3 linked regions of the Macaca fascicularis genome follow. The protein of the gene in region 2 binds, or shares a complex with, the protein of the main gene of each other region. Links are inferred from orthologs where the notes say so. Each region holds a gene or a part of one and is shown on either strand. Other genes may lie near its edges. The genes, in order: LAMTOR2, LAMTOR4 and FNIP1.

The links.
Region 1: LAMTOR4 (region 2) and LAMTOR2 share a complex: the UniProt entries of both Homo sapiens proteins name them as parts of the ragulator complex. The link is inferred for Macaca fascicularis from reciprocal best matches to the Homo sapiens genes LAMTOR4 and LAMTOR2.
Region 3: LAMTOR4 (region 2) and FNIP1 share a complex: the UniProt entries of both Homo sapiens proteins name them as parts of the lysosomal folliculin complex. The link is inferred for Macaca fascicularis from reciprocal best matches to the Homo sapiens genes LAMTOR4 and FNIP1.

The regions. Positions count from the first base shown.
Region 1 is NC_088375.1:105,027,286-105,031,448, reverse strand, and holds the start of LAMTOR2 (ragulator complex protein LAMTOR2), read left to right. Parts: upstream 1-1,294; 5' UTR 1,295-1,383; coding exon 1,384-1,451; intron 1,452-1,756; coding exon 1,757-1,919; intron 1,920-4,163. Other genes in the region: UBQLN4 (ubiquilin-4), read right to left, coding at 97-204. UniProt on the Homo sapiens protein: As part of the Ragulator complex it is involved in amino acid sensing and activation of mTORC1, a signaling complex promoting cell growth in response to growth factors, energy levels, and amino acids.
Region 2 is NC_088377.1:48,815,666-48,819,914, forward strand, and holds the start of LAMTOR4 (ragulator complex protein LAMTOR4), read left to right. Parts: upstream 1-1,376; 5' UTR 1,377-1,450; coding exon 1,451-1,453; intron 1,454-1,973; coding exon 1,974-2,054; intron 2,055-4,249. UniProt on the Homo sapiens protein: As part of the Ragulator complex it is involved in amino acid sensing and activation of mTORC1, a signaling complex promoting cell growth in response to growth factors, energy levels, and amino acids.
Region 3 is NC_088380.1:138,207,688-138,211,331, reverse strand, and holds part of FNIP1 (folliculin-interacting protein 1), read left to right. Parts: intron 1-2,326; coding exon 2,327-3,644. UniProt on the Homo sapiens protein: Binding partner of the GTPase-activating protein FLCN: involved in the cellular response to amino acid availability by regulating the non-canonical mTORC1 signaling cascade controlling the MiT/TFE factors TFEB and TFE3.

The sequences.
Region 1 (4,163 bases), on a different chromosome or scaffold from region 2:
TCCGGGGCCCTCCAGGACGCCAGACCGTCAGGGAGGCCCCCATCTCTTCGCAGACCCCTCCTCCGCGCTCCCCCCGCCTCCCGCCTGCTGTACTACCTCCTTGACCGAGGCTCGATCGCAGATCACAATTTCCTCCTTGTCCTTAGGGGTCTTGACGGTGACCCGAATAGGGGGCCTCGTCTCGGCCCCGCTCGGCTCCGCCATGCCGCCGCCGCCACCCGGCCGCCCGCCAGCCCGCCCGGCTCCTCCTCCTCCCCGCCCGCCCGGCCGGCCCGGCTCGGCTCCTGCGCCTCCAACACTCCCCTCTCTCCACCTCTCCCCTCCCCTCCCCTCCCCTCCTCTCCCCTCCCCTCCCAGAGGCTTCACCGCCCCCTCCAGACCAGCCGCAGCCACAGCGCCCCGGGCGGACCGGGGGGGCCACTGCAGCGGGGTCCGCCCAGGGCCAAGCCCCAGGTCCGGAATCCGGCCAGGGTCTCGCCAAGCTGGGGCTCCTGGGGAGGCTCTGGGCGGGGGAAGGGACGTGCCCTTCACTGCGGGGGCGAGGGCGAACTCCCCGGGAGACCGCGGCCCAACGCTGCTCGCCCGAGCCGTGCCGCCGTCCCCTCCGGCCCAAAGCCTCCCCGCCCCCTCCGCGGCTAACTCTGCTCCGGGACAAAGGACTTTGTGTGTCGCCGCTTTATCTCCGTTCCCTGTGATAACTTGGTCTTTCTTGGAAGCCCCAAGTCCCTTCCAGGCCAGGGGCCTTTCCCGACTTGGAGGTTGGGTTTTCCCACCAAGCACGTCCACTTAGGATCTCAGCTCTAGGACTGACCCTATAGCCCCGAGGGTCGCGGCCTAAATGGTCTGTTGCGAACGGTTCCAGGGAGCTGGGTTTTGGCTGCGTGGCCTTTCAGAGCCTTGATTTCCTCAAGATAATAATAGTACCTCTCGCCTCATCGCACAGAATTGTGCATAACGGAGAAAACTGTTTTGAAAGTAACCAAAGGCGTGCCTGACAAATATGAGGATGTAGTATAATTATTGAATCGTGGACTGCCAAGCGGACACGTTGATTCCTTTCTCCCCGAAGGGGTTAAATGTCCTTCCAGCGCTGCAGCTGTCCTTTCACTCCCGCTCTTTTCCGCCCCCACAACCGCGTGGTCCGCCTGGAAAGGCGAACTATAGTTCCCATGGTGCCTCGCGAGGTCACGAGGAACTACGATTCCCAGAGACCCCCGCGGCGGGGCGGTGTTGAGTCGGAACCACAATAGCCAGGCGAGGAAACTACAACTCCCAGGGCATCCCGGAGCAGGCCAACGGGACTACGGGAAGCAGCGGGCAGCGGCCCGCGGGAGGCATCTCGGAGGATCTGGGTGCAAAAACCCAGGGTTAGGAGCGGTAGGCATGCTGCGCCCCAAGGCTTTGACCCAGGTGCTAAGCCAAGCCAACACTGGAGGCGTCCAGAGCACCCTGTGAGTGCGGACCACGGACCCCAGCGGCGCGCGCTGCAGTGGAGCGGCGTGCGACTCCCTGAGGGAGGGGTGGGGAAGGATCGCCCGGAAGGGAGGAGGCGTCAGAGGGGGCAGTGGCTGGGGGTACCGGCCGGGAGGTCACCTCTCGAAAAGGGAGGCCGGTGTGCTGGGTGCTTAGGGCACGTTCCGGGACACACTCAGCCGAGAGCCTTGCTGGATGTGCCCGTGGCGGGACTTGAGATGGAAACCCAGACGTTTTACTCCCCGCGCTGAGCACATCGTTATCCCTCCCCGCCCCTCACCAGGCTGCTGAATAACGAGGGATCACTGCTGGCCTACTCTGGTTACGGGGACACTGACGCCCGGGTCACCGCTGCCATAGCCAGTAACATCTGGGCCGCCTACGACCGGAACGGGAACCAAGCATTTAATGAAGACAATCTCAAATTCATCCTCATGGACTGCATGGTATGGAGAGGGGAGCCAGACTTCCCCTGTCCCCCAAGGGGATCCCAAGGGGGCGACCTGGACCCCATCCTGGATGGTTGGAGGGGCAGGGACAGGATCTCCGGAAGATTACTAAGAGTTGGTCTGCAGCAGCATTTGTAATAGGCAGGACCCTATTCATCAAGTGGTGGTGAGGAAGGAGCCCTGGACCTGAGAGGTCTGACTTGGGTTCTGGTCTCAGCCATCCACTTATCAGTTGTGGAACCTTGGGTAAGTCGCTTAACCTCTCTCAGCTTCCTTACCTCATGTCTAAGGAGAAGACAATTTCCCTCTCCCCGCTCCCCTCGTGGGTTGTTGTGAAGGTCAAATGAAATAATGGGTATAAACAGTAGAATGACGTGCAAACACAAAGTGTTGTCATCCCAGCTTCACCGACTCACAGAACCATGGCAGTCTCCAGACCCTAGTCCAACCCCTTAAGGTTACAAAGAAAGGAAAATGAAGTCCAGAAAGGGGAAGTCGCCATTAGACTGTGAACTTCCTAGTATCTGTTCAGTTAACAAATATTTAGGTCCTTGCAGTGTTCTCAGGACTAGGGAAAAAAAAACAGCAAACAGAAAGACAAAACCCCCAGACCTAATAAATCTTACACAGTGATGCGATCACAGCTCATTGCAGCCTCGACCTCCCTGGGCTCAGGTGATCCTGCTGCCCCAGCCTCCTGAGTAGCTGTGACTACAGTCATGCACCACCACACCTCACTAAGTTTTGGATTTTTTGCAGAGACTGGGTTTTGCCATGTTGCCCAGGCTGGTCTCAAACTCCTGGCTCAAGTGATCCACCCACCTCGGCCTCCCAAAGTGATGGGATTACAGGTGTGAGTCACTGTGCCCGGCCACATTTTTTAAAATAAGTAAAATATGTAGTATATATTAGGTATTGAAATTGCAATGGAGAGAAAGCAGGGAAGTTAAAGAGTATGAGTTTGTTGGGCGTATGTGTCAGGGACAGTCTCACTGGAAAGGTGATATTTGATCAAAGATGTGAAGAAAGGTGGGGGACAAGCCATGTGGCTATCTGAGGGAAGAATATTTTGGACAGAACAGCAAGTACCAAGGCCCTGAGGCAGAATTATGCCTGCTCAAGGATCAACAGGGTTGGTTGGTATGGCTGGAGTTGCATGAGAATGGAGGAGGGTTAAGTAGGAGATGAGGTCAGAGAGGCAGGGAGTGCAGTGCTTGGTTCCTGGCATACAATGAATACCTAGTAAAAGTTTGCCGAACTTACTTTTGTTTTTTTCAAATCGGCCAGAGGGTGAACTCTCCAGGAAGGATCTTCATAGTAACTCAACTGCCTACTCTCCCCTATCCCCTGCACAACCAATGCCATTTTTAGTTCAACATAAGACTCCTACTGGATGCGTAGAGCTGGTGCTATAAGGAAATAGCTTTCAAACGTTTTGACCACAACCCAGCCATAAGAAATATATTTTAAAGGGCCGGCACGGTGGCTCATGCCTGTAATCCCAGCACTTTGGGAGGCTGAGGCGGGCGGATCATGAGGTCAGGTGTTCAAGACCAGCCTGGCCAACATGGTGAAACCCTGTCTCTACTAAAAATACAAAAAATTAGTCAGGCATGGTGGCATGTGCCTGTAATCCCAGCCACTAAGGAAACTGAGGCAGGAGAATCACTTGAACCCAGGAGGTGGAGGTTGCAGTGAGCTGAGATCACGCCATTGCACTCCAGCCTGGGCAACAGAGCGAGACTCCATCTCAAAAAAAAAACCAAAACAAACAAACAAACAAAAAACAAATACATTTTAAGGCTGAGCGCAGTGTCTCACTCCTGTAACCCCAACACAGACTGAGGCTGGAGGATACTTGAGGCCAGGAGTTTGAGACCAGCCTTGGTGACCTAACAAGACCTCATCTCTACAAAAACTTTTTTTAAAAATAAATAAATAAATAGGAAATAATTTTTTAAGAAAGACATTTTAAGTCACAGCTCAACACACACATATACCCACTAAAACAAAAGTCATGAAACAATACTTTTCCTACTACATGTAATATACTTCATTTTTTCTTTTTTCTTTTTTAATGCTGATCAACCTTCTTTTTTTTTTTTTTTTTTTTGAGACGGAGTCTCGCTGTTGCCCAGGCTGGAGTGCAGTGGCGCGATCTCCGCTCACTGCAAGCTCCGCCTCCCGGGTTCCCGCCATTCTCCTGCCTCAGCCTCCTGAGTAGCTGGGACTACAGGCGCC
Region 2 (4,249 bases):
CATGCCCAGCCTTGATTGTTGTTTCTAACAAGTCTTAAAAGACACCCAGACTTCAACAATTGTTACTATATTCAGATTTTTTTGGTTTGTTTTTGAGACAATCTTGCTCTTTTACCCAGTCTGGAGTGCAGTAGCATGATCATGGCTCACTGCAGCTTCAAACTCCTGGGCTCAAGCAATTCTCCCACCTCAGCCTCCCCGGTAGCTGGGACTACATGTGCGGTATCATGCCTGGTTAATTTTTAAATTTTTAGAGATGGGGTCTTGCTATGTTGCCCAGGCTTCTAGAATCACTCTTCATATTACTCACTAACACTGCCTCCACCACATTAATACGGCAACAGGTCTAGAAATTATTTAAAACAAAAATTTCCAATGTTTACATTGTGTGATGTATGTATGTATGTATGTATGTATGTGTGTGTGTGTGTATCATTCCAAGGTACTGTTTCTAATTTTTTCCTGCAGAGAATATTCAGTATTGTATCTGCATTGGCTAGCTGGTGATTCTATTCACCATCACATTGTCCCAGACTGAATCTGAAGACAAAAAACCACTTTGGGAACAAAATCTTTTTTTTTTTTTTTTTTTTTTTTTTTGAGATGTAGTCTCGCTGTCTCCCAGGCTGGAGTGCAGTGGCGTCATCTCGACTCACTGCAAGCTCCACCTCCCAGGTTCGCGCCATTCTCCTGCCTCAGCCTCCCGAATAGCTGGAACTACAGGCGCCCGCCACCACGCCTAGCTAATTTTTTGTATTTTTTAGTAGGGACAGGGTTTCACTGTGTTAGCCAGGATGGTTTCCATCTTCTGACCTCGTGATCCGCCCGCCTCGGCCTCCCAAAGTTCTGGGATTACAGTTGTGAGCCACCGCGCCCGGCCAAGGGAACAAATTCTTGTCTTCAACAAAGAGCGGTCTTGAGTAGGCATAAAAGTAGCATTTGAAGGTTGGGCGCCCAGCCTTGAATAGCTTTTTACATGCATTGCACGTTATTTCCTTTTATTATCACGTTTTTTGGGTCCAGTCTTAAACCTGGGAAGGCATTCGTTTGGGAGGTCACACTGGCGGGCATCCTGGTTCAGGCGGAACCCAGACTCTAGAAAGCGCGCGCGGAGCCACACGGTCAACCCTGTCCCACTCCTGGCCCTCCCACACCGTCCCCTCCGCGGAAGCACTCCCGCCTCCTCTCGCTCAGGCACTGACTGAGAGGCGGAGAGATGGGTGTTAAAGAGGGGATATCACCAATCAACGTGCGCCTCCGGGAAGGAGCGCTTCGCACTGGCTGGTTGGGTCTGACGACGTGGCCACGATCCAATCCTCATGCTAGAGGCGCGGCTAAAGGGTAGGGAAGCAAGCAGAAGGAGGAGCGCGCCGGGTGCGAGCACGTGACCGGGGCCTGAAGCCGGAAGCTACCTATCTGGTAGGGAGCTCCACCAGCACCGAAGACTGCGATGGTGAGTGAGGACGCATGCGCGGGAGGACCCGCCGGGGGTTCCGCGTCTCTGCTCCCCAATCTGTGTGGTTTCCCCCTCGTGGGTCTGCGCTCCACCCTCACCTCCTATCCGCTCGGGGAGGAAGACGGGATGGAGATGGGAGGGATGGCGACGGGAATGCTGGGGAGGGGTCTGTGGGAGGGTGTTCTGGGGCTGCGGGTAGTCTGCAGGTCAGGGGCGGGGAGGTGGAGAGAGGGTCTGGGGGCAGGGGCCAGTGGGGCAGCGAAGTCCCCTCGGAGTAGCATAGGTGGAGCGTGGAAGGCCAGGGGAGCCCGGGGGCCGAGAGTGGGGGCAGATGGAGGCTCGGGAAGATCAGTATTGAGGACCATGTAGGGGGAAGGGAGCCGGGAAAGGACCTGGCTGGGGAATGAGAAAACCTGGGGCCATCGCCAATCAAGAGACTTGGGTTTGTAGGTGAAGGGTATCAGGGGCCATCCATCCCTCTAGCATGCTTCTCACTACTTGCATCTTTACCCACTAGACTTCTGCACTGACCCAGGGGCTGGAGCGAATCCCAGACCAGCTCGGCTACCTGGTACTGAGTGAAGGTGCAGTGCTGGCGGTGCGTTCTGGAAAAGGGAGGGGGTCCCTTAGTGCACACAGCCCGGTAACCCCTTCTAATATTGGCCCTTCTTTTCTCGACTTTTACCTGGTTTGCGGTCTGGCATCTATTAGGTTGGTACAAAAGTATTTGCAGTTTTTGCAATTACTTTCAGTAATCAGTCTGTGGAATCTTAGTCTCCTAACGGTTGCGGTTTATTTATTTATTTATTTATTTACACTTTTTGAAACTGAGTTTCATTCTTGTTGCCCAAGCTGGAGTGCAGTGGTGCGATCTCCGCTCACTGCAACCTCCGCCTCCGGGGTTCAAGCGATTGTCCTGCCTCAGCCTCCAGAGTAGCTGGGATTACAGGCATGTGCCACCACGCTCGGCTAATTTTTTGTATTTTTAGTAGAAACGGGGTTTCACCGTGTTAGCCAGGCTGGTCTCAAACTCCTGACCTCAGGTGATCCACCTGCCTCAGCCTCCCAAAGTGCTGGGATTACAGGCGTGAGCCAACATCCCTGGCCTTTATTTGATATTTCTTAAAGAGTCATTTGTATTTTGTTCCATAGTACTGTATAGTGTTAGGTCTCTAGATGTTTTTGATTTAGCTAGAGACAAAGCTTAAGGTTAAGTGTTGAAAACAATACAGGTGGTAAAAGACTATTGAAGGAATCCAGGATATTAAAAATTCAACATGTTATGACAAGGTAACTAACTTCCCTGGAGGTAGGAATTCAGCCCAGCTTAAAGGAGAGTATTTACAGTGGGGAGGTGGACATATTTGCAGGTGTGTGGCACTGACCTTTCTAAACTGATGGTAAGTCTGTGCTGAAAAGATTTGGGAAGATTTGAGGGAAGAGGAAGATATGGTCAGGGAGGATCTGATTGTGAAGGATCTTCAAGGCCAGGTTAACACACTTGAACTTATTCTTCTTGGAGGTAATACAGCTTGAAAGGTTTTTTAAACAGAAACAAGACCCAGTGAGGTGGTTGAGCAATATTGTTGTTAGTGATGTGAAGATGGGCAGAAGGAGGCATCATTAAGAGATTAGACTGGGCCAGGCATAGGTGGCTCAGGTCTTTAGTAATCCCAGCATTTTGGGAGGCCAAGGCGAGTGGATCACGAGGTCAGGAGAGCTAGACCATCCTGGCCAACACGGTGAAACCCTGTCTCTGTTAAAAATACAAAAACAAAATTGGCCAGGCGTGGTGGTGGGCGCCAGCTACTCGGGAGGCTGAGGCGGGAGAATGGCGTGAACCAGAAAGGCGGAGGTTGCAGTTAGCCAAGATTGCACCACTGCACTCCAGCCTGGGTGACAGAGCAAGACTCCGTCTCAAAAAAAAAAAAAAAAAAAAAGAGATGAGACTGGGCAAGTGGCAGTAAGAAGGAGCAAGGAGAGAAGAGTTTTGTTTTTGTTTTTGTTGTTTTTTGAGACAGAGTCTCGCTCTGTGGCCCAGGCTGGAGTGCAGTGGCATGATCTCAGCTCAGGGCAACCTCCGCCTCCCAGGTTCAAGCGATTCTCCCGCCTAAGCCTCCTGAGTAGCTAGGATTACAGGCGTATGCCACCACACCCGGCTAATTTTTGTATTTTTAGTAGAGATGGGGTTTTGCCATGTTGGCCAGGCTGGTCTCGAACTCCTGACCTTGTGATCTGCCCACCTCAGCCTCCCAAAGTGCTGGGATTACAGGCATGAGCCACCGCGCCCGGCCCTTTTTTTTTTTTTTTTTTTAGGACAGAGTCTTGCTGTCACTCAGGCTGAAGTGCAGTAGTGTGATCACATCTCATTGCAGTCTTGAACTCCTGGGCCCAAGCGATCCTCCCACCTCAGCATCCCAAGTAACTAGAACTATAGGCAAGCACCACCACGCCCAGCCATTAAAAAAAAAAAAATTTATAGGGACAGGGGTCTTGCTATGTTGCCCAGGTTGGTCTCGAAGTCCTGGCCTCCATCAGTCCTCCTGCCTTGGCCTCCCAAAGTGCTGGGATTATAGGTATGAGCTACTGTGCTTGGCTGGGAGAAGATATTTTAAAGGAGGAATCAGTATATCTTGCTAATGACTAGAAATAGGTAATAAAAGAAATACTTCTCTAGCTAGAACTCTAAAGCCTGGAAGAGTGATGATGCCTTAAGAAACATGTTCCTTAAGGCCGCGCGCGGTGGCTCAAGCCTGTAATCCCAGCACTTTGGGAGGCCGAGACGGGCGGATC
Region 3 (3,644 bases), on a different chromosome or scaffold from region 2:
ACAGGGGAGCCTACTTTTGCCCAAGTGAGGATGCTTAGGTGGGAAGCTATGGACTGGCAGAGATATTGAGGAAAGGGACAGGACATCACATGAGTAAAGAGTAGGTGTTAAAAGTGCAGAGCATATTCAGTGGTCCAGTTTAACTGGGTCTTTGCATGAATAAAGATGATTTCTTCTTCTGACTGCCAAGAAGGAGGATAAGTATAAGAAGATAAAGCTGGAAAAGTAAAATGGGAATCATGAAAGACTCACTTGCCATACCAAAGTAATTTCAACTTACTTGGTAATTCGTGGGAATCGTGGGAGTAATTTAGAACAGTGGCATGGTGATATTTGAGCCAGTGTGTTAGCCAGAGGAGAAAATTTATCATAATAATACCTATAGCATGTATTTATTTGAGACCTATTTATATTTGTTCCTTTAAAAAGTGTGAGGGCTTTGTAAAGTAAAAATAGAGGATTTTAAATGTATATACTAACAACTTGCAAAAATTAAATTAAGTTGAAATTAGTGGCTTTGTATTCTCCTTTTTCTTTTCTTTCTTTCTTGAGACAGGGTCTCACTGTATCGCACAGGCTAGAGTGCGGTGGTGCGATCACAGTTCACTGCAGCCTCAGCTTCCTGGGCTCAGGTGATTCTTCCACCTTTTCCTCTCAAGTAGCTGGGATTACAGGAGCAAGCCACCATGCCCAGCTAATTTTCTGTATTTTTTTGTAGAGACGAGAGTTTTGCCATGTTACCCAGACTGGTCTTAAACTGCTGGGTTCGAGTGATCAGCCTGCTTCCACCTCCCAAAATGCTGGGATTACCTGCATAAGCCACCATGCCCAGCCCTGTTCTCCATAGTTTTGGCACTGAAATTACTGGTTTAATTTGAAGTATAGCATAAATATAGAAATGATAATTTCTAGTCCTGACCCCCTCACTTCCCCTGCTTTTAACATAATCGCTAGTCATGTTTAGAATGGGTTCAAAAGTGAAAATGAATTGCATGGCTAAACTCGTTGCCCTTTCTTTTCCTTTTAGTAAGGATGAGTCTCTCTCTTCCTGCCCCTTCTGGCCTATCCTGTGTACCCAACCCTCTAGGGAATGGAAGGGGAAAATAGGCTCTTACTAACATGGGAGCTGGTGGGATGGGGTGCTGGCTAGGGGAACAACAGTTAAAGTTTAGAGATATGACTTACTTTTTAATTTTATTTCTTTGTTTCTTTTTTTTTTTTTTGAGACGGAGTTTCACTCTTGTCGCCCAGGCTGGATTGCAATGGTGTCATCTCAGCTCAGTGCACCCTCTGCCTCCTGGGTTCAAGCAATTCCCCAGCCTCAGCCTCCCGAGTAGGTGGGACTACAGGCATCCACCACAACACCTGGCTAATTTTTGTATTTTTAGTAAGTACAGGGTTTTACCATGTTGGCCAGGCTGGTCTTGAACTCCTGATATCAAGTGATCCACCCATCTCGGCCTCCCAGAGTGCTGGAATTACAAGCGTGAGCCACCGTGCCTGGCCCCAGAGATATGATTTAAATCAGGAATGATTAAGTGTGTGGTGTGACTACTCTAGCTTTGCTCCATTTTACCGCTACTCCTTTCCTGTCCTTGCAAGCCAGCAGATATTGTGCTTTGTCTTTTCTTGATTGGACACAGCTGCAGAGTCCTTGTGTACATAGTACTTCAGGCAGTACTTCTCTAACCAGGTAAAAATGCTCTTCATGGAGCCTGGGTTAAAGAATATTCTTGGGATATGTGAGTTTCAGAACTGACTCTTTGCTTGAGGTTTCTGAACCATAGCATTTGTTTAAAGAGGAAGCCTGAAAACCCTTAAATTCACCTTTCTTTCTGGTTAAGACTATTCATCTCATCTTCCTCCCTTGAATAGTCACTCATCTGTTAAAGAACTAAGAATGAGGCCAGGCATGTTGGCTCATGCCTGTAATCCCAGTACTGTGGGAGGCCAAGGCCAGTGGATTGCTTGAGCCCAGGAACTCAAGATCAGCCTAGGAAACATGGCAAAACTCTGTCTCTACAAAAAAAAATACAGATAATTAGCCAGGTGTGGTGGCACATACCTATAGTCCCAGCTACTCAGGAGGCTGAGGTAGGATAATTACTTGAGCCTAGGAGGCTGAGGCTGCAGTGAACCATGACTGTACCACTGTACTCCAGCCAGGATTACAGTGTGAGACCCTGTCTCAAAAAAAAAAAAAAAAAAAAAAAAGTAAAACCTAAACAACTACTCATACAGTAAGATTAGGTTTCTGATCATTAAAAATAGCTTACTTAGCTGTGTCAGTAAAGGATGTGTCCAATAACTGATTTTTCCATTACAGGAGACTTGTATGGCGCTATTGGCTCTCCTGTACGGTTAGCAAGGACTGTGGTAGTTGGCAAACGACAAGACATGGTCCAGAGGCTACTTTATTTTCTTACTTATTTTATAAGATGCTCTGAACTTCAAGAAACGCATCTTTTAGAAAATGGAGAAGATGAAGCCATCGTTATGCCAGGCACAGTAATTACTACCACTTTAGAGAAAGGTGAAATAGAAGAATCGGAGTATGTCCTTGTCACAATGCATAGAAACAAAAGCAGTTTGCTCTTTAAAGAGTCAGAAGAAATAAGAACTCCCAGTTGTAACTGTAAATATTGCAGTCATCCACTCCTTGGGCAAAATGTAGAGAACATTTCACAACAAGAGAGAGAAGATGCTCAAAACAGCTCTAAGGAGCTGCTAGGAATTTCAGATGAGTGCCGGATGATTTCTCCTTCTGACTGCCAAGAAGAAAATGCTGTTGATGTTAAACAGTACAGAGATAAATTAAGAACTTGCCTTGATGCCAAGTTAGAGACGGTTGTTTGCACAGGATCTGTTCCAGTAGACAAATGTGCATTGTCAGAGTCAGGCTTAGAGCCAACAGAGGAAACATGGCAGAGTGAGAAGTTGCTGGATTCAGACAGTCACACAGGCAAAGCAATGAGATCCACAGGAATGGTTGTGGAGAAAAAACCTCCAGATAAGATTGTGCCTGCTTCATTTTCTTGTGAGGCTGCCCAGACAAAGGTTACTTTCCTGATTGGGGATTCTATGTCACCTGATTCAGATACTGAGCTTCGAAGTCAGGCAGTGGTGGATCAGATTACCAGACATCACACCAAACCATTGAAGCCAGAAAGAGGGGCTGTTGATCAGCATCAAGAAACTAAACAAACAACTAAGGACCAATCTGGAGAGTCTGATATACAGAACATGGTTTCTGAAGAGCCCTGTGAACTTCCCTGTTGGAATCATTCAGACCCAGAAAGCATGAGCTTATTTGACGAATATTTTAATGATGATTCAATTGAAACCAGGACTATTGATGATGTTCCAATTAAAACAAGTGCAGATAGTAAAGACCATTGCTGTATGTTAGAGTTTTCAAAAATATTGTGTGCAAAAAATAACAAACAGAACAATGAATTTTGTAAATGTATAGAAACAGTTCCCCAAGATTCATGTAAAACCTGCTTTCCTCAGCAGGACCAAAGAGATACACTCTCCATTCTTGTCCCCCATGGGGATAAAGAGAGTTCAGATAAAAAAATTGCTGTAGGAACTGAATGGGACATTCCAAGAAATGAAAGTTCAGATAGTGCCCTTGGGGATAG